Linked DNA regions of Pelodiscus sinensis. The protein of the gene in region 3 interacts with the protein of the main gene of each other region in a pairwise test. Links are inferred from orthologs where the notes say so. Each region holds a gene or a part of one and is shown on either strand. Other genes may lie near its edges. The genes, in order: BAG3, HNRNPUL1, SF3B4 and PPP1R16B.

The links.
Region 1: the proteins of SF3B4 (region 3) and BAG3 interact in binary tests that used the Homo sapiens proteins (3 or more experiments, as listed by UniProt). The two-hybrid records come from large-scale screens. The link is inferred for Pelodiscus sinensis from reciprocal best matches to the Homo sapiens genes SF3B4 and BAG3.
Region 2: the proteins of SF3B4 (region 3) and HNRNPUL1 interact in binary tests that used the Homo sapiens proteins (3 or more experiments, as listed by UniProt). The link is inferred for Pelodiscus sinensis from reciprocal best matches to the Homo sapiens genes SF3B4 and HNRNPUL1.
Region 4: the proteins of SF3B4 (region 3) and PPP1R16B interact in binary tests that used the Homo sapiens proteins (3 or more experiments, as listed by UniProt). The two-hybrid records come from large-scale screens. The link is inferred for Pelodiscus sinensis from reciprocal best matches to the Homo sapiens genes SF3B4 and PPP1R16B.

The regions. Positions count from the first base shown.
Region 1 is NC_134718.1:58,606,353-58,613,634, reverse strand, and holds the start of BAG3 (BAG family molecular chaperone regulator 3), read left to right. Parts: upstream 1-4,003; 5' UTR 4,004-4,338; coding exon 4,339-4,515; intron 4,516-6,211; exon of another isoform or gene 6,212-6,510; intron 6,511-7,282. UniProt on the Homo sapiens protein: Co-chaperone and adapter protein that connects different classes of molecular chaperones including heat shock proteins 70 (HSP70s), e.g. HSPA1A/HSP70 or HSPA8/HSC70, and small heat shock proteins (sHSPs), e.g. HSPB8.
Region 2 is NW_027465992.1:17,495-25,391, forward strand, and holds the start of HNRNPUL1 (heterogeneous nuclear ribonucleoprotein U-like protein 1), read left to right. Parts: upstream 1-4,701; 5' UTR 4,702-4,774; coding exon 4,775-4,934; intron 4,935-7,897. Other genes in the region: olfactomedin-like, read left to right, coding at 1,442-1,589, 2,043-2,836.
Region 3 is NC_134734.1:20,278,684-20,286,780, reverse strand, and holds the start of SF3B4 (splicing factor 3B subunit 4), read left to right. Parts: upstream 1-4,856; 5' UTR 4,857-4,982; coding exon 4,983-5,016; intron 5,017-6,305; coding exon 6,306-6,434; intron 6,435-8,087; coding exon 8,088-8,097. UniProt on the Homo sapiens protein: Component of the 17S U2 SnRNP complex of the spliceosome, a large ribonucleoprotein complex that removes introns from transcribed pre-mRNAs.
Region 4 is NC_134728.1:27,112,501-27,119,802, reverse strand, and holds the start of PPP1R16B (protein phosphatase 1 regulatory inhibitor subunit 16B), read left to right. Parts: upstream 1-4,251; 5' UTR 4,252-5,180; intron 5,181-7,302. UniProt on the Homo sapiens protein: Regulator of protein phosphatase 1 (PP1) that acts as a positive regulator of pulmonary endothelial cell (EC) barrier function. Involved in the regulation of the PI3K/AKT signaling pathway, angiogenesis and endothelial cell proliferation.

The DNA.
Region 1 (7,282 bases), on a different chromosome or scaffold from region 3:
GTACGCAAATTGCAGTTCACAGTTTGCGTACCTTTTCCCAAAAATACCCTACAGTATAGACATAGCCTATATTTTCTTCTGCTCTCCTTTGATTTGCTTCCCTTTGATCTGGTCCTCTCCTCCCTTGCACATGTTGCCCAGTTCCTTTCTTCCCTGAATATTTCTCTCCCACTTGCAGCTCCTGATGGTGGCTGACAGTTCACATACCAACCAAGGATCTGTCCCTGGATAGGACTTTTCTTCTTCTCCTTCTCTTATATAGCAGCAACCCCTAGGATTTCCAATAGCTGGTTCTCCTTCTCATTTCCAGCTGCTGAAATCAACAGAGATTACTGTAATGCCTGTAGAACCAGAAGGAAAGGAGGACCATGTGATTTGAACTGCCTACAATGAGCCACCCAAAAGCCTATTGACTTGACTCCTTTCTAACTCATTTTCCTGTGGTAATATTGCCAAACCCAAACCTGGGGCTAGATTCTACTTTCAGTTACACTAGCAAAAAATCCTTTAGACTTATTAGTAAGAGTCACAAAGCGTCTAGGTGATTTACAAAAAGACTTCATCTGAGAAAGGACATAGCTCCGCATACATCTGGCCTGTGGAGTTTAATCTTCCCAGAAAATCATGAGGTTTAAGGGAAATCACTGATAAGTGTATTGATTAGTTTATATAAAAGTCCAAAACTATTGTTTGCCAGAAAAATACTAGTTGTGGTTTGAATGTAATTCTGCCTTTATAAAAGACAATACAGGTTGAACCTCTCTACAGGTTGAACCTCAATACAGGTTGAAACCCTTGGGACCTTACTGGTACCAAACCAAAGAATTTACCAAACTATGGGAGGTCAATATTGTCTAGCAGCATTACCAGCACTTCTACTGCTTACTGGACTCTTAAAAGATATTTAGGGGGTAAATTAGAGCTAAATAACATCATAGAACCCTGAGAGCCAGGACTGGGGCAGTAAATAAATTTTATGGGACTGCTGAAAATGTGGCCACATCATGATAAGTGGCCATTGAGCTAACTAAAATCATGCTGGACCATGGATATTGCCAGACCAGAAAGGGCTGGACTAGAGAGGTTCAACCTGTATATGGTGGTTGTGCAATTAATGCTTGAATTTTTCGCATCTTGTGGGCCAATAGCAACTAGAAAAACTGTCTTAATAGAAGGATAAAATAAAAAAAACATGTTGCCATTGTCTCAAATGAGGGATCCATCAAAGATGTGAGTTCCACATTCAAGCCCCAACAGGGTAATGGTTTCTTAATTGGTGGGAACGTGTGAGTCAGATCTTTTTATAAATCTATATATTGCAGAAAAAATTGAGTGACTATCTGCAAGTGGACGATATGCTGGAATAGCAGCCAACTGGACCCCACTGAAAGTCTGAAGACAATAACTAGACCAAGTTGACTGATATAGAAGAATCCAAGAAGGCTAAAACATGACTCTCAACAGACCATGAAGAGAAATGTTTTTACCTAAATTAATAAATCTTTCTAATAGAGGCTTTCTGCTTTGAATCAAAATGTCTTGTTTAGCTGCTGAGCAGGATCCGTCCACAGAATTCAGCCAGATCACATGCTATTAAGTATAGAGATTCTGGGTTCAGATGAAGCACCAGGCCTTGATTCTGGGAAATTATTTCCAGTAGATTTATATAAAGAGGAACAGGTGGACTGATAAAAAGATGCCTCATGCAGGAGTTCTAGAACTAGTGCCCAGGCTGGAGCTATCATTACCACCTTAGCTTTGTCTTAGCAAATCTTCCTAAAAATGCTGTGGACTAAAGGAATGGGAAGAAAGGCCTAAAGCAGATCATTGTCCCTTTGGAACAGAAGTGTGACCATCATAGACCAAGGCTTAGTCCCTCACAAGAGCAGAATACAGGCAGTCATATCTTACAGTTCCTGAACTCAGCCTATAGCTGTTCCACTTTCTCTCTTTCCTTCTGTGCTCTTTTTCTGTACTTTGTAGCCTCTGAGTTAATGAAGTAATTAACTTTTCACTCTCTCCAATTGATCTTCAATCTATCAATTTGGCACAGAACTCATATAGTGGTGTGCATTGGGCAACTAACTGATGCTGCAGTGATTAGAATCCTGGATCACCTGCTGTTGCCCAAGGCTTTGTCACAATATTGAGATGAGAAAGATGGAGGCCTATACCATCTACCCTCTGGGCAGCCAGAGGGAGTGCAAGGTGTAGGTGTGGGAAAGAGATGGAGAGGGGGGGTTGCAGGCTCTGGGAATGAGTGGGGAGCAGGAGTTGATATTAGGAGAGGGGATGGAGGTTGCAGCACTTACGTAGGGCGCTCCTCTTTGACAGCAGCCCCTAAGCATAAGGAGCAGAGATCTCTGTGCACTGCTCTCTGCAGGCACCACCCTGGAGCTTCCTATTGGGCTAGAGGGGCACTTGGGGCAAGGGCAATGCGCAGAGACAACCTTCTCCCAAGGGGGTCACAGGGACACATAGCAGCAGTTGCACAGAGCAAGTGGTGAGGAGTGCTGTTGGTGATGTTTCCTGGGCCATTTTAGATGACCCAGGAATAGCAGGTGGGCTGGGGGTCTTGCTGGGCTGGGGAGCGCAGGGTGGCGGGTGGGAGAGAGACTCAGTCTTGAACTTTGGTAGAGCCAGGCCTGGGCCAGGAATATTCTTGGTGCTGCCTGGGCACCCCGAGCCCATAGAACTCCCTGCCCATGCTTGAGGTGTAAATGTAACCCACACACTTGCTGGATGTGGCTCACTGTCCTATATAGTGGCACTTAGACCAGAGAGAGCAAAAGAGTTTGCTCTACAGCAGTGTTTCTTAAACTGTGTCCTGGGGAGCACCGGTGTGCCACGACGCAGTCGGAGGTGTGCCGTGGAGAACAACAGAGTTCAAAATGGCTGTTTTTTTGTTGTTGTTGTTGTTCAACAAAAAAATCCTTGGTGTCCCTCGTAAAAAAAATTGTTTGGTGTTTCTCAGTCTTAAAAAGTTTGTTTCTGTAGAGAAACACTACTCTACAGCCTTAGAGATTAGCTCTGGAGGTCCCAGGTTCAGTTCTGCCAGTTGGTGTTACACATCTACCTATAGTGGAACGTGGGTGAGCAAAAGCATCTCAGAGACTGAACTTACGTATACACTTACACATTTCCAGGATCAGGGCCTGACTAGTTCTCTGAAATCAATGTTACACCTTGTAAACAAGAGAAGAGTCAGTCCAAGCACCTTTATCCCTTGTGCACTGGCCACAATGAAGTTACTCCTAGGATGCATCTGGCCCAGTGGGGTTGCACAGGTGTGATTCAGAGGTGCTGTTTAGGTGTTGTAGATATGTGAGATTTTTATCTATCAGAAATTACTGATCGACTGCTATAGGCAAAGGCACCCAGGCCACTAATCCTTTACATTCTGCCAATGCCCAAAAACCAGTGCTGGCCCTAGGCATAAGGAGACTAAGCACTTGCAGGGTCCCTAACAGCTCAAATGGGAGAAGGGGGGAGGGCTACTCACTTTTTATTATTATTAAGGCACTGAGCGGTCACAGAGATCATGGATTCTGTGGTATTTTTATATGACCTGTATGATTTCAGCCACACACAGCGGTGTGGGGGGAGGCAAAAATACTCTTGCTTTTACTGTCCCCAAGGGGCTAGCAACACTTCTGCCAAAGACCCTGATCAGGCACTGCAATCCCATTCATAGACTCAGGGGGCTGGAAGAGACCTCAGGAGGTTATCGATTCCAAAGCAGGGCTGATCCCAACTAAATCACCCCAGCCAGGCCTTTGTCAAACCCAGACTTAAAAACCTCTCAGGATACAGAGTCCAAAACCTCCCTCGAGAACCCATCCCAGGGCTTCACCACCCTCCTAGGGGAATAGTTTTTCCTAATATCCAGCGGAGACCTCCCCCTCTGTAACTTGAGCTCCTTGTTCGGCCATTCCCCAGAGAAAAGGGGGGGTGAACTTTCCCCGCCTCCGTCCCAGCGCCCCCGAGAAGCGAGGACACGCCGCGGCAGCACGGAGAGTTGGGCTGGGCTAACCCCACAGGCGGAGGAGCCGGAGGGTGACTCAAGCAGGCTTTCCCCGCCCCGCCGCAACCAAGTTCTGCTCGACACCACCAGAAGTTTCCAGCCGCGCCGGCCAGTTGCTCTGTCTCTCCACCTCCTTCTCCTCCCCCTTCTCCTCCTCCTCCTCCGCCTGGCCCCTGCGCGGCTCTTTCCAGACACTTCCACCCCCTTCGCTGCCCCCTCCCTCCGCCCATTGATTGATAAAGGTGCCGGCCTGGCCGGCGTCCCCGCCTGAGTCTCCAGCGCATGGGCTGGCTGGGTGCGCGTCCTGCCCGAGCATGAGCGCAGCCACGCACTCGCCCCTGGGGCAGATGGAGGGCAGCGCCGAGCGAGAGCCCCTGCCGCCGGGCTGGGAGGTGAAGATCGACCCGCAGACGGGCTGGCCCTTCTTCGTGGATCACAACAGCCGCACCACCACCTGGAGCGACCCGCGGCTGCTGGCGGAGCCGCACAAGGTGCCCGCGGGGGGGCTCCGCGCCGGGGACTTTGGAGGAAAGGGTCGGGAGCTTGCTCCGTGCGCAGCGCCTGGCACGGCGGGGGGCAGAGCAGGGCTGCGTGGGGAGAAGGGGGACAAAGGGACGGGCTGCCGGGCCTGCCCTCGGTACATGGCGAATACTGAGGGGAGCAGCCTCCTCTCCCCTTGATACATGGCAAATGCGCAGGGCGGGCCTTGGTACACGGCAAATTGGGGGGGGGCAGATTCCCCTCTCCTAGATATATGGGAAATACCAGGGGGATAGTAGCTTTCCCATGGAGCACATGGGGAGGGGGCAGCCGGGTCTCCCCTCGGTACGTGGTGTTGTAGTGGGGCAACAAGCTCTATTCAGTACACGCCAAATGCCAAAGCCGCCCCTACTCTAGTACATGGAAAGGGGGGGGGGGTAGGGGTGCTAGAGCAATGGCAGAACTGCCTGCCCTCTCAGTACCGTGCAGTGGAGGGTGAGGGGCAATGGCAGGGCCATCTGCCCCCTCTCCTCAGTACATGGCAATGCAGTGAGGCCAGGAGCTGCCTTTTGTCTCTGACGCACTGCAGTCCTTTTTTTGTGCATTAAATCATTTGATACCTTAGCCCTGTAATGTTTATTTAAAGTTGGTTAAGTCCACCCAGCCTGCCTGGAAAGACACACACAGATTTATTTTTCAGATGTGTATAATTTAAACTATGGACATCAGTAAAAACCCGCCTTCTTTCAAGGTTTTTTTTTTTCTCTTTGTGTTAACTGTCTGGGTAATTTTGTTCTTTGGTTTTTGTTTTGTTTTAAAGCATGCTTATGGGAAATCCATCTCTTACTCCAAATATGTCCATGTAAAGAGAAGCAGTTGAGAGATAGAGAGGAGTCATGTTATTTCTACTTGCCCTCATAAATGGAGCTTTTAAGTAAGCCTGTCTTAGTTTCAATAAATACTCAATTTATAAATGGCCCTCCAATTAATCAGAATTAGCGGATTTTGTTAGCCTTAGGCAAAAACCAGGAGAAAAAAGGTGCTAGAAAATCCTAGCAGAACTAGGAAGGTTTTAAAAGCTTGGTGGAAAATAAGAGTTTATCATCAGATGTCTGTTTACTTTGTTTTAAGTTTTTTAATACACTACGAGGCTAAGCTTTGTCCTTGTGCCTTTATTTTTGAAATATTATTGATGGTCATAAAACATTATTGTCATAGGACTAACACAGGGCTCAGTTCTGTTGTCCTTAGACACTACGTTCCAGAATGAAGCTTATTTAGAAGAGGGTTGTAGAGAATTCTGCAGCACATCAAAGGAAAGAGTGTGTTTAATAAAAAATAAACAGTGCTGGTCAGGCTAATGCTGAAAGAAATTTGTGTGGACTCTTAAGTTCCTGGGTATTGGACTGGTAGTCTGAATGCTGGATTACTTCAGCTACTAGAGAAGGTTCCTGACAATGTAGTAACAAGCTAAAACCTGCAATTCTCAAACTGTGGGTTGAGACTCTATTTTAATGGGGTCCCCAGGGCTGTCTTAGGGTTGCTGGGGTTTTGCCCTTCCCCCAACCTGAGACAGTGTAGCTCAGGCTTCTGTCATCCCTTCTGGGGCTGTGTAGTGATTTTTGTTGTCAGAAAGAGGTCACAGTGCAACGGATTTGGAAAACACTTGAGCTGTTGCCTTAAAAATGGAGCAGTGCTGGTGGTCTTAGGCCTTTAAACACAAGAAATTATTGTAGAGCACCAAAACAGTTAAATCATCATGACAACATTCAGTTCTAATTAACTCTGAGAACTATATTTTCACCATTTCATCAGCATTCTGAAAGGACGTAGGCGTTGGTTTGTAGAAAGTATTGTTGCTTGTGTTGAAGTTCTTTAGAGGTCTGAAATGTATTTTTGTAAATTAGCCCATGGAAGATAAATTTTGTTGACTGATGACAACCATTTTTGTGCAATTCTGACACTTGTAACTTTATTCATTCATGTAAATCTTGATGCTTGAAACACTAAATGTAACAGGAATACTCTTTACAATACCTCAGTTTCAGAATGATAATTGAATTACATTTATTACTCATTTTATGAATTCAATCACAACTCAGCACAAGCAGTGCAGTATAATGGAAGCCCAAGGGACTGATTCTCTCTCCACCTCCCTCTGCCCCCCTCCCCCTGCTCCCAAATCAGGAGTACCTCCACAGAAGTCATTGGAATTACTTGGGTATGGATCCAGTGTGACAGATTTTCTTGATTTAATACAGATTTTATAAAACAATTCACTTATTTTTTTGTAAATATTCTTAAATGTATTGATAGGCACTGTTTAACGTAATGACAAAGTAAATTATGTAATTTTGGTACTATTGTGATGATCTCAGAAACATATGTTATATATTATATGTTTAAAATTGACTAAAAAAGCTCATGTTAGACAGATTGTCTGATAGTGTAATTGGGTTCCAGTCAGGAATGATTCTACTGTGAACAAATAAATATATTAAGAGATGTCCTATGCAACTATAATAGTTTTTTGAAGAGTGCACATTTTTGAATGATCTCTCTTATAAATTTGCTATCTCTTGGGAAATTATCCATTGTCTCTGCTGCCTTGTTTAAGATCAAAAAAAAAAAAAAAACCAGATTTAAGCTGATAATCATCTGAAAAGGAGGAAAATTGTGAATTATAGTGGATCATAAATCCTCCTTTGTGATTGAAACAAAAATTCCATTCTTATCTAATGTGAAATCTATAGTAATGGAAGGTAATTCCTTTCCTGC
Region 2 (7,897 bases), on a different chromosome or scaffold from region 3:
TTCGCTGCGTAAACACCACCCGCAATAAAACTGGGTTTACTGACTCCCTCCATGGCTCACTCGATGCGTTCCGTTCCGTTCCGAGGCTCGGGCAGGAAATATTCCCAGTGCCGCAGCAGCGACACCAACACGCTCCTGAAATCCCAGCCAGGCTGGGTCCGAGAAACTAGCCTCCCCTGGGAAAATCCAGAGCCCGTCAATGGCAGGGAGCGCTTCCTGGGACGGACGCGGGCAAACCCAGCCCGGGAGCGAGCTGCACAAACCATGGATATTTGGGTTTGCTGAAGAGGCAAACCAAAGGCAAGGTTTGGAACGGTTCGGTGCCTTACAAAGGTGGGAGGGGGGTGCTGAACAAGACGTTTTGTTGGAAAAGCCTTCCTTTTGATTCGGAGCCTCTTGAACCCTTTGCCACTGGGCGTTCGCTCCGCCAGCTCGAAGGCCGTTTCTAAACCAAGAGTCGTTTGACACCCCCCATCCTACCCTGTTTGCCTTTCGATGGCGTCCGGCTTTTTCCAACCAAGCTGACGCAAGGTCACAGAAGGTTTTGCTGTGGCCAAAGCTGCGGGTTTTTCCCCCTTAGATAAAACACTTTGGCTGTGTCTAAACTGGCCACTTTTTCCGGAAAAGCAGCCGCTTTTCTGGAAAAACTTGCCAGCTGTCTACACTGGCCGCTTGAATTTCCGCAAAAGCACTGATGTAAGATTGTCAGTGTTCTTGCGGAGATACTGTGCTGCTCCCGTTCGGGCAAAAGTCTTTTTCCGAAAAACTTTTGTGCAAAAGGGCCAGTGTAGACAGCAGAGATTTGTTTTCCGCAAAAAAGCCCCAATCGTGAAAATGGCAATCGGGGCTTTTTTGCGGAAAAGCGCGTCTAGATTGCGGAAAAGCGTCCTGCCCATCTAGACGCGCTTTTCCAAAAATGCTTTTAACGGAAAACTTTTCCGTTAAAAGCATTTCCGGAAAATCATGCCAGTCTAGACGTAGCCCTCGGATGGAATTTTCCACCCCGCTCTAGTGAGGTTTGGATGTCGGGAAGAGATTTACATCAGTGGGGGCCTGGCCCGCGAGCGAGGGCTCTTGGCCCACGAATGCTGCCGATTCTCCAGTTCGGGTCTCTCTCCCGCTTCCAGCGGAGGAGGGCGTGGTGGGACAAACGCCTGGGAGCAGATACCGGGGGGTGACCGGCCACTGCTGGCCAATTGCTGGCGCTCAACGTAACGGGCGCTGGGTGAGCAACCTTTGCAGCCAGCTGTGTGGAAACCTGCCTGGAACTCAGCAGCCGTTGGCGGACGTGGCCCTCGGGCGGAGGCGTCCCACAGACCGAAGGCCTGCTACTTGTGGGAGCACCGGGGGGATCCGTGCACGGGGTGCCTGGGGTCCTGCCTCAGCCAGAACGGGGCGCCCCGCCCCCCTGGAATGACTGACGCTTGCTCTGCCCCCGCAGCTCCAGAACATTTCTGTCACCGTGAGCGCCCTGGAATCCTATGACCAGAGCCACGTGGTGGCCATGAGGCGGGAGCTGGCCACGCTCAGACAGCGCCTGGAGGACTGTCAGAAGGACAGGCCACTGCTGGGAGGCCAGCCGCTGGTCGGTGAGTACCCCCGGGGACGGGTCTCAGCTGGACTGAGGAGACTTCGCTCAGGTCCCAGCACTGCCCCAGCCACCCCCCCGGGACTGCCAAGTCTCCCTGTGTGCCTCAGTTTCCCACCTGTGAAGTGGGGCTAGCCATGGGGTGACGGGAGAAAGGTTATGAGCAGCCCAAAGCCTGTGCAGCCATAATCCCTGAGCTGGGAGAGAGCCCAGGAGTTCTGGCTCTCAGCTCCCATTGATCGCCTCTGCCCCCCCGCCACTCTAATCACTAGACTTCACTCCCTTCCCAGAGCTGATCTTGAACCCAGGAGTCCTGGCTCCCAGCTCCCTGCTCTAACCACTAGCCCGCACTCCCCTCCCAGAGCTGGGCTGGAACCCCATTGCCCTGGCTCTGAGCTGTGCCGTCACTGGGCCGATCTAACCCTCGTGACGCCCCGACCCCCTCTCCCCGCAGGCACGTGCAGCCACCGGGGGATCTGGCGCATCGGCAAGCCCTCGGTGGTGCAGCTCAACTGGAAGGGCCCAAGCTACAAGGCCGGGGCCTGGGGCAAGGAGTCGTTCCTGGGCGCGGGGCGGAAGGAACGCTACTGGGTGGCGCCGCTGAACACGGACGGCCGGCGGCTGGACGCGGTGCGTCTCTACGGCTCCTACCAGGACCTGCTGCTCGCCAGGAACCCCACGGACCAGCTGATCTCGGGCTCCGGGCAGGGGGCCGGGCCGGCGCTGTACAACGGCTCCCTCTACTACAACTGCTACAACGCGCGGGAGGTGTGCCGCCTGAGCCTGGAGAGCGGGGCCGTGGACCGCAAGGCCGTGCCCAACGCCGCCTTCAACAACCGCTTCTCCTACGCTGGCACCAGCTGGCAGGGCCTCGACCTGGCCGCGGACGAGACCGGGCTGTGGGTGCTCTACGCCACCGAGCGCGGCGAGGGCACCATCGTCATCGGCCGCCTGGGGCCCGGCTCGCTGGCCGTGGAGAAGACCTGGCTCACCTCACAGTACAAGCCGGCGGCCACCAACGCCTTCCTGGTGTGTGGGGTGATGTACGCCACCCGCCCGCTCAGCACCCGCCGCGAGGAGATCTTCTACGCCTACGACACCCGCACGGGCCAGGGGAGCCGCCTCAGCCTGCCGCTGGAGAAGGTGACCGACGTCGTGCAGTCCCTGAGCTACAACCCCGCCGACCACAAGCTGTACATGTACAGCGACGGCTACCTGCTCACCTACGACGTCATCTTCCGGCCCTAGCGTCCCGCCTGGCCTGGAGGCAGGGGACCGGCAGCGCCCAGGGCGGGTGGGTCTCCCCCTGCCTTCTCCGGCCCACCCTGTTCCTTCCCCCCAAACTCCAGTCTTCCTCCCCCTCCTCGTTCCCCCTTTCCTGTTCCCCTGATGCTTTTACTCTTCGTCCCAGGTCACTGCCCTCAGTCCTGCTCTCTCTCCCACCATGCTTGTTTCTCTCTCACCACTTTGCTAGAACTAAGGCTGCTCAACGGCCCAGCTCCCAGGCTCTGCCTCAATTTCCCCTCCCAGCTCCCGGGCTCTGCCTCAATTTCCCCTCCCAGCTCCCAGGCTCTGCCACTCCACCCCCTTTGCTACCGTACTGGGGTTTCTGCCACCCCACGAAACCTGTAGTCTCGGCTGCAATTCCCCTGCACGCCACAGCTGGAGTGGGCGGCTGGGGCCAGGACAGACAATCGGCCCATTGGTTGTTCTCGTGAGTTTCCATTCACCCCACTGCCTCCGCAGGGCCACACCTGGGGCGAATTTGGCTCTCGGAATTGGGGGCTTCTGAGGCCCAAACGGAGCCTTGTTTTGTCTTGGTAGCCAATAAACGTGACCTTCCAACCGCAGCCCCGTGCGCGTCACTGCATTTGGGGGTCTAACGCGTCCCAGGGACCAGCACCCGAGCGCCAGGGAGCTGGCAGCCAGGGTGGGGCTGGCGTCTTGCCCACAGCCGGGACTGCTGCTGTTTCCATGAAAGCCGCTGGCGCCTTGCTTCATGCAGCGCCCCATTGCCTGAGAAAACCAGACCTACCCCGATCAGCCAATAGGAACGGGTCTAACAATAAATCCCCCAGGGCTCAGCCAATGGGAAATGCACCTTCCCCCACAAACAGACCTAGGCCTCAGCCAACGGGAACTGCTCTAACAAATCTCTCCCCCCCCCCCCTTTAGCCAATGGGAAATGCACCACCATCAACCCCCCCCCCCCATACCACCAGGCCTCAGCCAATGAAAAATGCAATAACATCCCTCCCATCAGCCAATGGGAATTGCAATAACACCCCTCCTATCAGCCAATGGGAATTGCAATAACATCCCTCCTATCAGCCAATGGGAACTGCAATAACATCCCTCCCATCAGCCAATGGGAATTGCAATAACATCCCTCCTATCTGCCAATGGGAACTGCAATAACATCCCTCCCCTCAGCCAATGGGAATTGCAATAACATCCCTCCCCTCAGCCAATGGGAAAGGCAATAACATCCCTCCCCTCAGCCAATGGGAACTGCAATAACATCCCTCCCCTCAGCCAATGGGAACTGCAATAACATCCCTCCCCTCAGCCAATGGGAACTGCAATAACATCCCTCCCCTCAGCCAATGGGAAAGGCAATAAGATAAAAATCCCTTCCACAACCAAACAAACGCTCTCTGGGCTAAGCCAATAGCAGACAAGCTCACAGCCGCTCAGTCGGGAGCGCAGCCAATGGGACATGCGCAGAAAACAAACAAACCCAGAGTCCAGCCAATGAGGAACTCCCCGTGAAGTCGCGGGGGGCGCCGTGATTGGTCTAAGCGAGGTCTGACGCCCGCCCGTTTAGCTGCCAATCAAGGCCATCCTTCCCGCCCTCCAGGCGCCGTTTGAGGGACGCTCGCGGCCCCGCGGCCCGCGGCCAATGACAAGGCCCGTTCCAACGCCGCCTCCCGGCTCCGGCCAATGGCCGCCCCGCTGACACACGACGCGCGAGCGGGAGACGGGCGGCGAGGGGAGGCGCGAGGCGCCCGGCGCGGCCCAATCGCAGGCGGCCTTGCAGGGCGGCGCGGGGCGCCCGGCCAATGGGCGGCCCCGTTGCGAGGCGGCGCGGCCGCGGGCGGGGAGGCGGCGATGGCGGCCATTTTGAGCCGGGCCCGCAGCCGGGCAGCCGGGGCCCAGCGCGGGGCTCGGAGCGCGGCCGGCGCCATGGACGTGCGGCGCCTGCGGGTGACCGAGCTGCGCGAGGAGCTGGGCCGGCGCGGGCTGGACACGCGCGGCCTCAAGGCGGAGCTGGCCGAGCGGCTGCAGGCGGCGCTGGAGGCCGAGGAGGCGCGGCGGGCGGGCGGCCCGGCGCCCGACGGACACTGTGAGGGGGGCCCCGCGGGCGGGGAACGGGGCCCGGCGGCGGCAGCCCCTCACCCGCGCCTCGCGCCTCGCGGGGGCGGGGCCAGCCGGGCGGGGGCGGGGCCTCGCTCCTCGAGGGGGGCGGTGAAGAGCCTCCCCCCGCCCAGGGTTGTCGGGCAGCCCGGCGGGGTCCCGAAGCCCCTGGGCCCTGCGGGTTTCTAAAGCCCCTAGGCCCTGCTCTCCCTGGGGCGGTGGGTATCTAAAGCCCCTGGGCTAGGTAGGTGCCTAAAGCCCCTAGGCCCTGCTCTCCCTGGGGACGTGGATTTCTAAAGCCCCTAGGCCCTGCTCTCCCTGGGGACGTGGGTTTCTAAAGCCCCTAGGCCCTGCTCTCCCTGGGGACGTGGGTTTCTAAAGCCCCTAGGCCCTGCTCTCCCTGGGGACGTGGGTTTCTAAAGCCCCTAGGCCCTGCTCTCCCTGGGGACGATGGGTTTCTAAAGCCCCTAGGCCTTGCTCTTCCCGGGGAGGTGGGTTTCTAAAGCCCCTAGGCTTGGCTTTCCCTGGGGCGGTGGGTATCTAAAGCCTCTGGGCTAGCTAGGTGCCTAAAGCCCCTAGGCCCTGTTCTCCCTGGGGACGTGGGTTTCTAAAGCCCCTAGGCCCTGCTCTCCCCGGAACACTGGGTTTCTAAAGCATCTGAGCTAGGTAGGTTTCTAAAGCCCCTAGGCCCTGCTCTCCCTGGGGACGATGGGTTTCTAAAGCCCCTAGGCCTTGCTCTCCCCGGAGCACTGGGTTTCTAAAGCATCTGGGCTAGGTAGGTTTCTAAAGCCCCTGGGCCCTGCTCTTCCCGGGGAGGTGGGTTTCTAAAGCCTCTGGGCTAGCTAGGTGCCTAAAGCCCCTAGGCCCTGTTCTCCCTGGGGACGTGGGTTTCTAAAGCCCCTAGGCCCTGCTCTCCCTGGGGACGATGGGTTTCTAAAGCCCCTAGGCCTTGCTCTCCCCGGAGCACTGGGTTTCTAAAGCATCTGGGCTAGGTAGGTGTCTAATGCCCCTAGGCCTTGCTCTCCCCGGAGCACTGGGTTTCTAAAGCATCTGGGCTAGGTAGGTTTCTAAAGCCCATAGGCCCTGTTCTCTCTGGGACGACGGGTTTCTAAAGCCCCTAGGCCCTGCCCTCCCTTGGGCGGTGGGTTTCTAAAGCCTCTGGTCTGGGTAGGTGTCTAAAGCCCCTAGGCCCTGTTCTCCCCGGGGGGAGGGTCATGTCTGCATAACAGCCTGGCCTGGCTCGCTGGTGTAATTGGGGTTTTCACTGGGGCATTTAGGCTCACAGCTGTTGGGGACACCCGTAGCCTCTGGTTGGGAAGGGGCATCAGGGTGGGCAGATACGATGTGCCAAGCTGGCTCTGGGTCATGTGATCCCAGCGCTGAGGGCGCCGGTAGCCTGGGCTCTAGTCCCAGCTCACTGCTCCCACCCGGCTTGTAATGACGCGGGGGAGTTGGTGTGTGTAGATGTACCCAAGAGACTTCTGCCTTCCCCTCTCCCATGAGGAAAGGAGGTAGCTTTCTGTCAGCAGTAGGTGCTTATTTTATGCATCCCATGGCTGGTTTTATTTCTATCTGGAGAGGGGTCAGTTCTTGGCTGTTCCTCACTTGTTTCCTTGTTGATGGATTTTGGCAGGTAGGGATCCTGTCAGCCTATTCATTGAGAGATCCTCTAGGCTTTTGTCAGGTCCTGTTCCCCCCCCTCCCCCAATTCCCCTGGTGGTTAGGGTCTGTTTCCCATAGACTGGTTGGCAAGTACCGTAGAGCCACATCTCGTCTGCTGTCCACTGCGATGTTCGTGCATGGCTGGAGGAGCTGTGTGTGCACGTGCATAAATAGCTTGGATACACATTTGATCAGTTCTGCTTCATACAAGAGACTGAGCTTAAAAGACAGAAACTGAACTGCCCCTCCGGGGTTCAGCACTGGGAGTATGTATGGGTCTGGACTTGCTAGTCATCTTATCTCTTTGCTGTATTACACGTCAAACCACGTGTGGGAATGCTCCCTAAATCTCAGGTGCTTGGAAGCATGTGCAAGCTTGCTTGCTTGCTGTTGTCCATTGGAGGCATACTTTTGTCCTCCTAATGGTGCATCTCGTACCGGGACTGGTTCTGTGCTTTTCTGGCATGCGGTGTGATAGCGGATGAGCCACCTTTCAATATTTCACTAAAGCAGTGGTTACCAAACTTTTTGGCATCACGCCCCCTTTTTGATTTTTGAGAAACCCTCACACACACACACACACCCCATAGCAGCAAAACTTGTTAAGCTAAAAAAAGTGGGGGGGGAACTGACCGGGTCCGAAAAACAAAAATAGCAGCAAGTTGGGGGGGTTGGACCAGGGGGGCTGTGTCGCCTCATGTCCCCCCTGAAATGTCTTCATGCCCCCCAGTTTGGGAACCCATGCGCTAGAGAATGCTGATTTGCTTTGGTTCTGTGCTAAGATGCTCTTATTGTACCATTTGTGTGAATTGGACAACCTCTGAGGACCAAAACTTACTGATTTGTCTTTCCCCTGGAAGGTGATGTAGCCACTTTCACTTTTGCTTTTTGTAGTTCTTGGAAAGTAAACTACAAGTTCAGTCCTACATGCAAGTGAGTAAACTTCCTTTGCTAGACGTGAGGGTCACAGTTCAGTCCTGCAGGCGTAGGGAGTGTTGTCTGTCATTGTTTGCTGGAGCGTGGGTTAGATTTGCCTGACACTGGGATTTCGTTGCCTTTAGTTCAAAAGGGGTAGTTTGCACTAGAAGAGTTTTGCCACTGAAACACATGCTTGTTTTGCAGCGAGCAGATGGTTGGCTCTTTGATTTCGCGATAGCTTTTTGAGAGTGCGCCTTGACAGACCTGTGAGTTCTCTGTGTGTAGATCCCAAAAGTTGCAGGCGCCGATTCCCTGGTGATAAAATGCTAACATTCACCGGTTTCCTCTGTGTATCTTAGCTACAATCTGTTG
Region 3 (8,097 bases):
TAAGGGCCAGTCCGTCGGCTGCACGTGGAATGGGGCTGGTCTTTGGCGTGGCGAGGCACGTCCCAGCGATGGGGGCGTTCTGTGCACGTGTTTTCTAAGCCTGGGCCTTCCGGTCTCCACTGGAGAGCCCCTGGAGAACGAGAGCGGGGGGGATCTGGAGCCAGGCCCCTCTCCACCAGTCCTCCAGGCAGCGGGGAAGTTGCGGGTGCACGGGCCGGCGGGCGGTAGTTGCACTTCGCTTGTGAACAAGCATTTCCCAAGTGTGGTCCCAGGAGCTTCTGTCCTGCCCCGAGCGAAGGCAAATTTCCTCTCGGCCCTTTGGGCCAAACCACTCCGCGTCTCCCAGTTTGACACAAGCTGAGGGAGTGATGGGTGGAGGGGAGGGAACCTTTAATAGCTGCCATCCTGGCAGACCGAGGTATGGTTGTCCCCCTAAATTGTTACCACCCACTGGCTGCAACTGACCCATCCTTCCCTCAGAGACAAACGCCCGTTACATGAGCATCCGGCTGCCCCAGCTACCATCACCTTTCCTGCTTCGTGGCTCCCCTCTTGGTTGGTGCAGTGAAGGATGAACAGGTCTGGGAGACTGAATTTCATTTCCACCTTTCCCCGTGCTCCTTCTAGCCCAGGGCTGAGACGCTGTGGATGTTTTGGGGGTGTGGAGCAGCTTGCTTGGGTTGCACCCATCTTGGAGACCTTCAGTGTCCATAGCTATCCCGCTAGCATCTCTCTTGAGCTTGGTGGGGAGCGAAAGCTAAAGGCCGGCCGGCCCCGTCCCAGGCTGCTGCTGGCCTTAAACTGGGGCTGCCGTTCCCTTTGTACGTTAAATCTGCATCGCAACTTTAATGCTGCGCCTTTCAGGGACCCGCGCTTGCAAGCGGAACTCCAGGCCTGAATCACAGCTCTGTCATCCGCTACGCCTTCCATATACTGCAGCCTTCTTGAGGGGAGGAGGGGGAAAGCAGGATTCAGAACCCAATCGTCTCCCTCCCCAGGCTGCAGAAGTCGTATCCAATTAGTCAATTTCACCAGCTGGGCACAAGTATTAGCATCAATCGGAGACTTTTCCCCTGGCTCCAGCAGGCATTGCATTCAGGCCCATGCCAAGGGTAGTGAAGGAAACCCTTTGATGGGAGACTTTAATCATCGTTAAGGAACCTACAGATGCCCGACGGCAGTAGCCCGATGGCCTCATGCCGCTTATTAGCGGCGTATCTGGAGATGGGTGGTGTTTACACAGTTCTTGTATGCTACTTCTTTTCTGCCCCGAGAGCCAAGTGCCTGCTTTGTATATCTGTCCAATGTGGCATAACAGATTATTTTTATTGGCGTTTATTATATACTCTCTTGGGGCAATATTGGACTTATGGGTACATATGTATGGTTTTGTTTAAAATTTTTATATATTTTTTTAAAAGCCCTGGCTATCAAATTAGGAACCCACAGGAAATGGGTTTAGTGTCTAAGCTCAAGTGTTTTATGACAAAACCGGCTGATACATCTATGTGGGAGCCTGTGTGTGTTTCTCTCTCACACCCACACCCAGAGGGACTGGAAGCCGCCAAGTTCCTGAGTGGATTAGAACAGGCGTAGGGCTGCGCTGTTATCCAAGATAGCATGGGGAGATGTGCTGGCATGGCTAAAAGTAGCAGTGGACAGGCACACTGGCTTCAGAGCAAGCTGCACAAGATCTGGGTAAGTACTTGCATTGCTAGCTCATGCCACCACATGACCTTGGAAATATTTAGCCATGCAAGTGCAGGTATGTCTAACCCATGGGCTGTGTCTAGACTGCATCCCTTTTCCGGAAAAGGGATGCAAATTAGACACATCGCAATTGCAAATGAAGCAGGGATTTAAATCCCCCCCACTTCATTTGCATAAACATGGCTGCTGCTTTTTTCCAGCTCGGAGCTTTGCTGGAAAAAAGCGCCAGTCTAGACGGGGATCTTTTGGAAAATAAAGCCTTTTCCAAAAGATCCCTTATCCCTCTTAAAATAAGGGATCTTTTGGAAAAGGCTTTATTTTCCGAAAGATCCCCGTCTAGACTGGCGCTTTTTTCCCCGCAAAGCTCCGAGCCAGAAAAAAGCGGCAGCCCTGTTTATGCAAATGAAGTGGGGGGGATTTAAATCCCCGCTTCATTTGCAATTGCGATGTGTCTAATTTTCATCCCCTTTATGGAAAAGGGATGCAGTCTAGACAGAGCCATGCAGTAATCACGCCTAGAATTGCAGTATAGACATCACCCATGCATGCAGAGAGTCCAGTCCAGCTGTGGTAAAGGAAATTGGTACAGTTGTCTGCAAAGTTTGGAATTGTTGGCATGAGAATCCTAGAACTTCAGACCTTTCAAGTGCCTGGGAAAGAACTGTCACCCCTATCTGAGGAGCATAAAGAGAGCACTTCCTTCAGAGCAGGCTCATTTCTTTTTACGCGCAAGATTTCAAGATGATGAGATTTCCTTTGCACACTCCTGTGTGGCTCCTTTTCCTGCTGGTTATTCCTTTCTAAGAATTTGGGGGTTTTGCTCATTTTTTATATGTATATCTTAGCACTAACAGCACATATACATAGTACTATTTTCAGAAGAAAATTAGGATAACTCAGCAGATCACACATTCCCTGTGACATGAGGCATGAGTTAAGTGGAAATCCAAATAAGGGCATTTTTTTTTCTATTTTGTATATTTTTGTAGTGATGTTTCTATTTAAGGATTCATTAAAGTTCAGTATTTTTTAAATGCAGAGTGGCGGTCTGTGCATTGAATTGTATGCTCTAATTAAACTCAGATACCAGAATCATGGGGTGACATTCTCTTCTCTGTCTTCTGAAGGAGGCCAGATTAGATTAAGCTAATGGCCTTTTGTGCTTTTAAAATCTATTAACCTAAGAGTTCAGATCATCTACTGCAAATTAATCAGCCCTTATAAGGTGCTTTGTAGCAGTAGATTGCCAAGCATTTCACAAAGGAGGTGACGATGATCCCTATTTTACAGATGGGGAAACTGAGGTACTATTGAGGCAGGGACTTGCCTACGGTCACCCTGCAAGCCGATTGTTGAGCCAGGAATAGAATCTAATTTTCTCCAATCATTGTTCGAGACTCTCTCACTTTACCCAAAGCAGGGTAGTCCAGCTGGGCTGAGGCAGGAGGGGGGAGGGGGCTATTTGCACCTCTACCAATCACATTGCTGTGTGCCTCGGTTTCCCCATATGCACAATGGGAATAATGATAGTGACCTTCTTAGGTAAAACAGGGGAAGCCATTACATCCCCAAAAGCAGTCAGATCCTTCCTCTAAAAGGCCAGACACCCCACAGGTGTAAGGAATTATGCCATCAAGGTGCAGGAAGTACATAACCGGCTGTGTTGGGCTCTGCAGGACAATAAAGCATCATGGCGTAGCTGACTCCAGCCCACACTCAAAGGCTATGTCTACACTGGTGCGATCTTGCACCAGAGAAATGCAAATGAGGCTAAGCGTAGAATATCACCGAGCTTCATTTGCCTATCTAATGAGCTGCCATTTTGCGGAAGAGGCTCTTGCGCCAGAAGGAGCTGTCTACACTGCCCCTTCTTGCGCAAGAAAAACCCTCTTGCTCAGTGCTTTTTTGCGCAAGAAGGGGCAGTGTAGACAGCTCTTTCTGGCACAAGAGCCTCTTCTGCAAAAATGGCAGCTCATTAGATAGGCAAATGAGGCTCGGCGATAGTCCATGCTTAGCCTCATTTGCATAGCTCTGGCGTAAGATCGTGCCAGTGTAGACATAGCCAAGGAGGCTGGGTCTGTGCGTCTCTCTCCCAGAGCCTGGGCCGAGGGGCCAGAGCCGGACTAAGGGGTGGGCGAGCCGGGCAGCTGCTCGGGCGCCAACTGATGGAGGGCGCTTGACGGCAGTTGTACAGGGCGTGTAGCGTCCCTTATAGCTGCCATCAGGCACCGTGCACCCAGCTCCCCCCCACATCCCAGTGGCGCTGGCCAGCAGCGCCCTTCCCCCCACAGCCACGGGGCCCTGCACGGCCAGGCAGCGCATGCGCCGTGGGCCCCAGGCTGCGCGCCAGTGGCCATGGCCGGACAGCGCATGCACCGTGCGCACTGGGGCGGGCCCACACAGGCGCCATGCGCTCTGGGGCGGTGCCACGCACCCGGGCCTGGGGTGCCGAAATGGCTCGGGCCGGCCCTGCGAGGGGCACAGATCTTCTACCGCTGGGTGTTTAGTTTTTCTCTCATGCGTCTCCAGCTGGGACTAGAGGCCTTGGGAAGTCCAGACAACTGCCCCAGTGCCCACAGGCCCCCAGCGTTGCCAGGTTTTTGCCTGGACTGTCTGCTATTCGGGCCCCCTGTTCAGTAAAAGCAGCAGACAGCACCGGACATGAGAAATGTCTGGTGCTTCCTTTGGATGGACGTGGGGTGGGGGTGGGGGTGGGGGCGGGGGTGGGGGTGCAGTGTGGGGCCATTTAAAGGCGCAGTACCCCCTTTTTTTCTCAACTTTGGTCAAGAGATTTTTTTCCTGGTGTTTTTTTTGGGGGGGGGGGGGGGGTATTTGTTAATTCATCTGGCACCCCTAGGCCCCGCCCCCTGTGCCTGCATTGGGAATAGGGGGCGGGGTCAAGCAGCAGGCGCCCCCCCCCAGCAAGGGGGGGTGCTCTGCGGGGAGGGGGCATCCCCTACAACGGGTGCAGAGGGCCGTGGAGCGGCTAGTGGCACTTTACGTCATGACACGTCACCACAAGGGTCCTAGCCCTGGGGGACCAGGGTGGGGATGAAGAAGAAGGGACCCAGCGAGCCACTTCCGCCCAAAGGGAACATGGCCCCCTAGGGGCCTGCCCGGCCGACTTCCGCCCTTAGCCGTCATGGCTCCCCGGCCACTTCCGGCCTCGTCCAAGATGGCCGCCACGTTCACTGCCCCGTTTCAGCCGCGGTGGCCGGAAGTGGGAGGGTGAAAGGGCGGAAGTCGGCGGGGGAGGCGGGAGCGCGTTCGAGATGGCGGCGGGGCCCATCTCCGAGAGGAACCAGGGTAAATGGCGGCGGCCTCCGACCCCCTCGCCCCCCCCCCCCCGCCACGAGGGGCTGGGCCCGATCCTGCCCCCACAGCCAGAAGGGGGGGGCTGGGTTCCAGCCGGGGGGGCGGGTCCTGCTCCCACAGCCCGGGGGGGGGGCTGATCCTCAGCCTGGGGGGGCCTGATCCTGCCCCTGGTGCTGGCTGGGTTCCAGTGGGGGGGGCCAATCTTCCCCTCCCAGCTGGAGGGGGGGCTGGGACCTCCCCCCAAAAGCGGGGGGAGGGGGCTGGGTCTGAGCCTGCAGGGGAGCCCGATCCGCCCCTCCCCCCCCACCAGAAAAGCTGGGCGGGGTGGGGCTGAGTCCCAGCTCGGGGGGGGGGGGGGTCTCGATCCTCTCCTCAAAAATGAGCGGGGATGGGGCTGTGCCCCAGCTGGGGGGAGGCGACCTCCCCCCCCAAAAGCCAGAGGGAATGGGGCGTGTCCTAGCTTGGGGGGGCCACGCATCCCACTAAAAGTGAGAGGGGTGGGGGCGCTAGATTCGGTTCCTCTGCTTTGCATGTGATTTCTGTCAGTTCGTTTTTTGTGGGGGGTGGCGGGAGCTGTGGGTTCTCACTCTGCAACCCTGGGCAGATCTTCCCTCCTCTCTCTGCCTCAGTTTCCTCCATAAAATAAATACCTTGGGGTGGGGGTGAGATTTTAGTTTGATCTGAAGTATCGACTTTGTGTTGCCTTGGCAATGGGAGGGGATCATGGTCAGCAGCGTCATTAGGTATGGTTTGAGGGTGTTACTGTACAAACGTGATTTAAGGGGAGTTGCTTCCTTGCACGCAACAAGGGGAGGCAGTGTAGCCTACCTGCTAGAGCACTGGCCTGGCCCTTGAGACACCTGAGTTCTATTCTTGGCTCTGTTGGGTGATCTTGAGCTGCTTCTTCTCACTGCCTCAGTCTCCCCATCTGTATTATGGGGCTGATGATGCTGACCTCCTTTGCAAAGTGCTGTGAGAGCTACTGAAGGACTAGCTAAAAGTTAGGGATTAGCACCTCTTTGGTGCATGTCTGCACTTCAAGCACGGGTTTTAATCCTCTGGCTTATTGGGTGTATAATACTCCAGAGGAGTGTGTTTCATTAGGGGTCAAATCTTGTGCTGTTGAAGTGGAGGCAAGTTTTGCTTTTGACTTAGTGGGCTCAAGCTTGATACAGAGCTCCTCTCTTCTGAGGGGGGAGTTCCTAACTCCTCTGAAATAGCAACGAGATTCCTCTTCAGAGCCATGTAACCCAGAACCGTCTCCTCTTCCCCCTCTCAAGATGCTACCGTGTACGTTGGTGGCCTGGACGAGAAGGTCAGCGAGCCGCTGCTATGGGAACTCTTCCTGCAGGCGGGACCAGTGGTCAATACTCACATGCCCAAAGATCGAGTCACAGGTCAACATCAAGGTAAGGCGCTGTCGGGGCCTTTCAAAGATGTGTGTCTGCAAAATAACGCATAGATCCGAATCCTCGTGGTGCCTGGTGCTGTACAAACACTGACCAGCCCGTCCCCAGGCCTGAGCTTATAATTTAAATCATTCTTCTGGGTTTCAGTTTACTCCATGCGTATGTTGCCACTGGTTCTAGGACACAGCACGGACCACATCTCATTTTCATATTGTCTCACTCCAGTTAAAAACATATGAACGGCCATACTGGGTCAGACCCCAAAGGTCCATCTAGCCCAGTGTCCTGTCTGCTGACAGTGGCCACTACCAGATGCCTCAGAGGAAGGGATTACAACAGGTAATCCTCATGTGATACCTCCCCTGTCACCCACCTCCAGAGAAACAGAGGGTAGGGATACCATTTCTACCCTTCCTGGCTAATAGCCATTGATGAACCTAACCTCCATGAATCCATCTAGCTCTTTTTTGAGCCCTGTTAAAGTCCTAGCTTTCACCACATCCTCTGGCAAGGAGTTCCACAGGTTAACTGTGTGCCGAGTGAAGAAAAACTTCCTTTTGTTTGTTTTAAACCTGCTGCCTATTCATTTCATTTGGTGATCCCTAGTTCTTATATTGTGGGAATAAGTAAATAACTTTTCCTTATTCACTTTTTCCATGGCCAGTCATAATTTTATAGAACTCTCTCATATCCCCCCTTAGTCTCCTCTCTTCTAAGATGAAAAGTCCAAGTCTTTTTAATCTCTCTTCATATCGGACCCTTTCCAAATCCCTACTCACATTCTTGTTGCCCTCCTAATCGGTTGCGTTACTTTGAAGAGTAGACGCGTGTTCTGGGCTCCGTTACTTTTTAACCCAGTTTCAGTGGAGACTTGAGGCTTGTCTACAATTGAAAGAGGCTGGAGCAGCTTTGCTGGCAAACTCTCCCAGTGGGAGAGACTGCATATAACAGAATTTTGTAGTTCCCTACATAGAATAAGTTATAGCAACTAAAGGACTTGCTGGTATCATATGTACATGTAGATCTTTGCTGACCCAGCTTTGCCATGTCGGCATGTGATTATTTCACACTCCCAGGCAACATAGCAATGCTAGAAAAACTTCCGAAGTGTAGGCCAGCCAGTAGTGAAACTGGTACAGATCCCTCTTTGGAGACTCAGAGCCGTTTAAATCTTTAGCTTGCAGCTGTGAGCTATGGGTGTTAAACCCGGTTCATCAATTGAACTTGATGAGTGTTCACGCGTGCAGCTGCACTAGTTTAAATAAATCAGTTGCAAAATGGCACCTTTAGATCGGTGCTACTTCATGGCTAGATCAGGCTTCAGAGGCCAAGGGCACGAGAAATCAATAGATGCAGGTGAGGGAGAAAGATGATCTGAATTGCAACGGAGTGGAGACGTAGACCGAGGTGGTTCCGGACACTAGATGACGCAGTGAGAGTTCTGTCTGCAGGGGGACAGTTGGCCTCCTCCGTCATTCCAGCCAGTTGTAGATGATTGAGGAGAGAGATTATTTCAGGGAGAGCTGTAGAGGAGAAGACTCTTGCGTCCACAGTGAAGAAACAAAGGAGGCCTGAGATCAAGCAAGGGGATGGAGTGGGAGGCTGGAGTGTGCCTGGCAGTAAAGGGCTCTGTTGTGGGGGGGTGTGTTTCAGGCTATGGGTT
Region 4 (7,302 bases), on a different chromosome or scaffold from region 3:
CACTAGGGCTCCCACGACCCACCGAGGGATACCAAGCGGTGGACACCCTCATGGTCTGGGGCGGAGATCCTGTCCCTCTTTGAGCTGGGGGGGGGAAGGAGACCTTCCAGCAGTGTTTCTTAAACTTTTTAAGACTGAGGAACCCCAAACAATATTTTTGGGATTTTTTGTTGAGCAAAAAAAGGTCAGGAGAAAGTTATTCAGGAAAAAAAAAGAGTGGCCATTTTGAATTCTGTTGTTCTCTGCGGCACACCTCCGAACACAGTTTAAGAAACACTGCCTTACGGGATCTCTGCTCCAAATGTCACAATGCGGACATTTAAGGCTGAGTAGCTGAGGCCCTTAGAACAGGTGTGGACTAAAGGGAAGGACCTCCACCAGGGATATGGGAGGGCCAGAGAGCACAGCTTATGCTCCTGGGCAGGACCCCATGCCTGCCCCTACTTCACCGAGCTCCACCAGATCCTGGGCGGGGGGGAGCCCTTTTCCCACCCGTCGTCAAGGACTCCGACCTCGAGATGCCCGTCGTCGCCTGGCCGGAGGTCACGGAGGAGGACATGGCCACAATGACGCTGTCCCTGGAGCAGTTGCTATGTGCCAGGACGTGTCCCAAGCATTGTCTGATGCCAGGTAGGGATCATCAGGTGAGTGCTCTCACTTTGTCTCACACACAGGGTGGGGGAGGCGGGTGCGAGGGGGTGGGGTGCGAGCGTCACTTGGCCTGCTGGGGCTGGACCTCATGCTGCAGTCCGTGCATGTGGGCCCACGTGCAGCATTATTGTGCACCATGTGGACTCAGCAGGCAGCCCCTGAGCCCACCCAGGCTCCTGCTCCTAGGCTCAGGGGAGGCCACACACACATCTGGCCCCGGGGGGCGGGGATACCCTCCCACCACCAGACACCTCTGGAAGCAGGCTAGCCACAGGGGCGCAGGCATGTCCCCCGACACACCGAGGAGTGCCGCACACAGGCATGCCTGCACGTGCGAGGCACCACCCGCTCCAGCGGGCAGCACTGTGAGCTGCAGGTGTGTGTGCAGGCTCCAGGGAGGACCAGGCTGCTCCTGGCTCCTCTGCCGCCCATGGGATCTCCCTGTGGCCAGACACTTCCCTGGCCTGCTTGTCCATGATGCGGTGGAAGGGGGAGTGGCCAGCATGGTTCTCTGAGCACCTTGGGCTTGTGAGAGGCAGGGCCTGCTGTGCAAGCCACACATGGCCTTGCTCCCAGGACATCCCCCTCCTCTGACCCGAGGACTGTTGGTCGCTGCTCACAGAGAAGGGCACGGCCTCAGGGACAGTGTCTGCAGGGATGACTGACCGCCTCTCCCTCTTGTGTAGTCTCCACAGCCTGGCTCGAGGGACGAGCCACACCACCCGAGCCAGCCGTCCGACCCCGGGGGAACCGAAAGCGCTCCAGGGTCCAGGAGGAGCTCATGAGGAAGCATGTGGACGTCCTGTGCAATATGCAGCGGACCTTGGTGCAGAAGGTCTAGGAGGGTGCAGACTGGCGGACCCACATGTGAGATCAGCTTGAGAGAGAGATGTTGGCACACCCGGCTGCTGTTGCTGCTCCTGCCTGCCATCCTCCTGCCCTCTCCAAGCGATGCCCATGCACCCTCCTCCTACCATCCCTGACCATGCTCAGGCCCACCCCCCTCCGGTCCAAGGACCCACGCAAACCCAAGTTCAATGAGGTCTCCACACCCAGACATCTAGCTGTCCCCCACGCCACTCCCAGCTCTGAGGCCCCCTCCAGGTTATGAGCCCCCCCCCCAACTTTTTTTAGTAAAGGATAAATACTAAGTTCATTCTGTTAAAATCCCAACAGGTGTCTTTATTCTGAGGTCTGTGAAAGGGCGGAGAGGGGTTGTGGTGGGAAAGGGATATTAGAGCAAGCCAGAAGCCGCTAGTGGGGAGGTCCTGGGGAGAGTTACTGGGGTCCTTGAGAGAAACTCTCCCTCAGGGCCTCCTGGATGTGCAGCCCGGCTTGATGGGCCTGGCGGATGGCAACTGTCCGCAGCTGCTCAAAGAGTCTCCCCTCGTGGCCGGCCTCTGCCCCCCACCCAGGTAGGAAGGCCTCCCCCTTCCTCTCCACAATGTTGTTGAGGACGTGTTGAGACAACCTCCGGGATGCTGTGCTCCCCCACATCGAGGCAGGTCAGGAGGTAACTGAACACACCTTGATGCGGCCAAAGGTGCACTCCACCTGCATCCCTGCTGGGCTAAGGTGGGAGTTAAACTGGTCACTGCTGGGGTCCAGGTGGTCGGTATAGGGTTTCATTAATGATGACATGAGGAGGTAGGCTGCATTCTCCACGATGCACAGTAGCATCTGCACATTCCCAACCACAAAGTCACAGCAGGGGAAGAATGTGCCCACCTCCAGCTTGCTGTAGAGGCTTGAGTTTTGAAAGATGCAGGCATCGTGTGCCCTTCCTGACTACCCGACAAAAGTGTCCGTGAACTGTCCACCGTGGTCGACCAGGGCCTGCAGCACCATTGAAAAACAGCCCTTGGGGTTGATATACTGGGGCGCTCGATGGTTCAGAAATGTGGACCGGGTTTTGGGTCCCATCTATGGTTCCACCACAGTTCAGGAACCCCAGGGCAGCAAATCCAGTCACAATCGGGTCCAGGTCTTCCAGGAGGATGACCCTGTGCAGCAGGATGCAGTTGATGGCCCTCACCACCTGCAGAAGGAGACAACACACAAAACAGAGAATGACAGGGAGTGCCGGAGCACTTGGGAGGTGCCTGCCCCCCCAAACACCCCAGGAGCCCCCCTCAGCAGCAGGGCTGAGAGAGGGCGGGATGGCACAATCCCCCAGGCACGGGGCTTCTCCCCCCCCCCCCAGCCCTACACCCTGCCCCCCAAGCCTCCTGTTTCCTGAGGATCCCCCTTTTCCAGGATTCCTCCCCCCATGCAGGGACTGCAGCCCCGGAGTGCCTTACCTGATGAGGAGGGCTCCGACGGTGGACTTCCCCACGCCGAACTGGTTGCCCACCAACTAGTAGCTCTCTGGGGTGGCAAGCTTCCAGATGGCAATTGTGAGCCGCTTCTTCAGGGGGATGGCGGGCTACAGGTGGGTGTTGCATTGTCAGAGGGCAGGGACGAGCCAGGCACATAGCTTCAAAAAGGTGGCCTTCTGCATGCGGAAGTTTTGGAGCCACTGCTGGTCGTCCCACCGCTCCATGTCCAGCTGGTCCCACAAATCAGAACTGGTGTCCAGCCTCCAAAAATGCCTCTCCACTGTGGGGTGCAGTTGCACAGGTCTTGCTCCTGCATACAGGGAGAGGGTCTCCAGTATGAGCTTGGAGTGGAGCTCACGCAGGGCCAGGAAGGCAGCCTGCGCAAACTGCAGCATGGCCGTGTGGGGCCATCGCATGCCCAGGGGCAGCTCTGGCTCCATGGCACAAAGGAAAAAGCTGTGGTATCCAAAAAAGCTGGCCAACCAAAGCTGGCACTGCAGGAGCACTGCAGTCCCTCGAAGAGGTACCAAGCACGCAGCGGAAGCAGAGAAATGGATGTCCAGGAGGGTCCCTTTAAGTGTGTGTGTCAGCAAGGATTCAGCAACAGCACTCCGAAGCAATTGGTGACCTAAAGCCCTGCTTGAAGTGGTTCCGGGTGGCCTTATATGCGAGATAGTGTCCAATCAGTGTGGACGCTCTCTTTCAAAAGATTTTTCAGAAGATCTCTTCTGGAAAAGCTTCTTCCAAAAGAAGCCTGCAGTCTAGATGTAGCCTAAGTGTGGCATTAGGTTGGCTCTTTCCTTTTATGCTTGCATACTGAACAGGCAGCTTAAATCTCAGGGTGGGCAGTTCAACACCAAATCCATGAGAAAATTAGTATATTGTTACAGCAACTCCTGCAGCCATGGCAGCAAATGCAATGGTGCAGACAAAGCATGGACATTTGACCAGTGTGTGTTCTACACACTGCACAGGTATCTGCCCAGCTTTAATGGAGAGCGGTCCTAAAATTTTTTTCAGCAAAAATTGCAGAATGGGGCTGACCAAAACATTTCACAAGTTCATGTTAAAGTCATTGAATTGTGTGTCAAAAAATGTGAAAGAACTGAAATGTTTGACATTTTTTATACCAAATGTTTGACCTTTTGATTAAAAATTATTTTGGTTTTAAAATTAAACTGAAACATTTCAAAAGTAAAAGCACAAAGTCTAAACATTTCTGGTCAAACAACCAGAAATTTGTCTGACCCCAAATTATTTTTTTTTATTTTTCAGGATGGTCAACCAAAATATAATTTTGTTAACTAAATAGCTGATGCAACTGGTTACTGCATTAAAGGGACTTTCAGTTTAGTAGAGATACAGCCCGAAGGGGCAAAAATAGCAAAGGAGACTATTATGAATTTATACAAGCAACTTTTGATCTTGGGAAATGACACACATTCCAGATCACTATCTACAGTGAGACATTTGCTTCTGAGTTGGAAATGGCAGAAACAACCCTGAAATGTGTTTCCAGCAGGCCCAAGACCTCAAAGCTGCCTTGCCCATTCCAGAAGTGAAATCAGGACAAAAAGCATGCCCAACACTAAAAAGCAAGTACAGAGAAAGTATTAACCTATAACATACTCTGCAAGTCTGAATTTTGTGGCCTTCCAAGCTTCCTGCAAAAGCCATAGTTGATGTTTTGAAAAAGGCAAAGGGTATAAATTTCATAGTAATGAAAAGGTGGAAAGGAGTTGGCTGATTTAACTACAGGGACATTAACAAATTTCAGTTCAAAAGCACAGGAGCTATTTAACCATTTGCTAGTAAACAAGTATTATAGGCAATGGAGACCAGTCTTCAGTAAGATGAATACCTTGTAGTTACAGATACCTGTGTAGTCCCCTTACTAAAGGTGCCTCCGCTTATTTTCTGGGAAGACCCTGAGTGCTGCAATCCAGCCTCACAGACTACAATTCCCATGAGTCTTTGGGAAAAACAGGAAGGAAGTGACTCTTGTGTGGGAGATCAGGGTCTCTCCAGTGCATGAGAAGGGAGGCTTAGCAGTCTGGGACTCTGCCCTTGGATTTTGGAACAGAAGGGAAGCCAGGCTGCTGTGGAGGAGTTTCATCCAGTCCAGGGGCTGTTAGAGTGCAGCTATAGACTGGGACTGGCCTTTGGAACTGGGATCAAGCAGGCTGCTTCTGATAGGCACAGCATGAGACTGTAAGTAATTGGGCATTTTTTGAAAAGTGCTGCCTGGGACAGAGCTGCTGCCTAGCTTGGACCCTCATACATACTGCCTGCAGAGAATCTCCATTACAGCTGCAGTTCTTCAAGTGCGCTCATGCAAGCAAGAGTCTGGGACTCTGAGTCCAGGAGTGTGCGCACACTGGGGTGGGATCAATATTGGCAGTGCAAATGCTAGCTATATAAGTTCCAATTATTGTGGTGCCCTTTGTTAATGCTATTCATTGTTAATCTATTAAACCCTGTTTATTTAAGTTAAGTAAAGAGTGTTTATTTTAATGTAATCTTTTAGATGTATATGATTTGCAGTTGTTCTGGAATTAGATCCAGATTATTGCTGGAATGAGTTTATTCCTGGATGCTCTCAAGGCACACCAGTAAGTGTGTACAAGGCCAGCCAGCTGGAGGCACCACCCTTGTATGTTCTTTATGAGCAAGGGACTGCAGAAAAGGGGTGGATAGGGTTTTCCCCAACTAAACAACATCACCACTGGGGTGCTCAGGATCTCCTTTTATGTTAAAACCATCAGGTGCCCAGGCACACAGGAGAGTGTGACCTGCTCCCGAGTAACCCGGGGAGGGAAAAGGGGGTTACACCTGTCATGTTATTTCCTGTTCTACCACTGTGCTCTGACCTTATCTGCCAACAGCACGTTATTCTTCCCCCCCCCCCCCCATAGCCTAAGTGCTATTTGCTTCTAAAGACAAAGTCTCTTTCAGTTACTTCATTGTATTCATCACAGGACACATCATCTCCTCTCAGACTTTTGGGGAACTGTTTATGCTTCCTCATGTCTTTGGATTCTTTTCACAGATCCTTAAGTTCTAGTTTTACCCAGTCTCCTGCCTATCTGAGAAGTAAAATGCATGGTTCTGCTTCTGTGGCCCTGTGGGAGAGACATAATGGAAGTATAAAGTATTCCATCTGTGGCTGATGATCACTTATTTCAGTCAAAGCAATGCAAGTAAACTTGGCTGAAGTAACATCAGGGCATGGTAAGCATGCAGTTCTGGTCACCCCAACTTAAAAAAATAATTAGAATTGGGAAAGATTCAGAGAAGGGCAATAAAAATGGTTAAGGTATAGAAGAGCATTCACATGAAGGGAGATTAATACAACTGGGACTTTTCAGCTTGGAAAAGAGATGATTAAGGGGCAGGGGGATATGATAGAGGTTAATAAAATCATGACTGGTGTGGAGAAAGCGAATAAAGCTGAATTTATTTATAGTCACGTAACACAAGAAGCAGGTGACACTCTATGAAATTAATAGGCAGCACAGTTAAATGAATGGAAAACCTCTTTATATAATGCTCAGTCAACCTGTGGAACTTGTTGCCAGGGTATCTTGTGAAGACCAAAAGTATAATAGGGTTTGAAAAAGAATTAGAGAAGTTGCCAGGGAATGAGCCATCAAAGGCTATTAACCATGATGTTCAGAAATGAAAACTCCTTTATCTGTGTGTAACTACGAGGGAGAAGCTGAGAGTGGATAACAGGGGACTGATCACCTGGTCTATTCATTCCCTCTGACACACCTGGCCTTAGCCACTGTTGGAAGACAGGATGCTGGGCAAGGTAGACCATTGGTCTGACCCAGAATGCTTCATGGCATATCTGTGGCGTAGAACTGGGCTCCTATCGTTTTACAAGAGATGCTATAATTAGGAGAGTCTAATGTGTTCAACTTCCTACACACTTTGCAGAAAAACTAAGCTGATACCCTTTGTCTTCCATATTCTGGCTCTCATATATAAAATCATAATATACACATGGCTTTTATAAGAATGCATTGTTGCTTCACAGCACCTCACAAACAACATGCTACTAGGCTAAACTATAGTCACCCCAAACTCTGGTTTCTGAAATCTCATCCCAGAGACAAACTTTACATCTTGAATCTATCTCTGTCATTATCTGCCTGGGAGGTAGGTAAAATGCATTAGTTCAGATTAGAGGAAGAAAGTACGCAGATTAAGTGCCACACAATGGTCTTTGAGCCCAAAACTAAACAATAGATATAAATAAATAATGCATCAGCCAGGTGTTGAATTTCTTTTCTACTCTGTAAGGAATATGTGTAGGCAGGACTTTAAA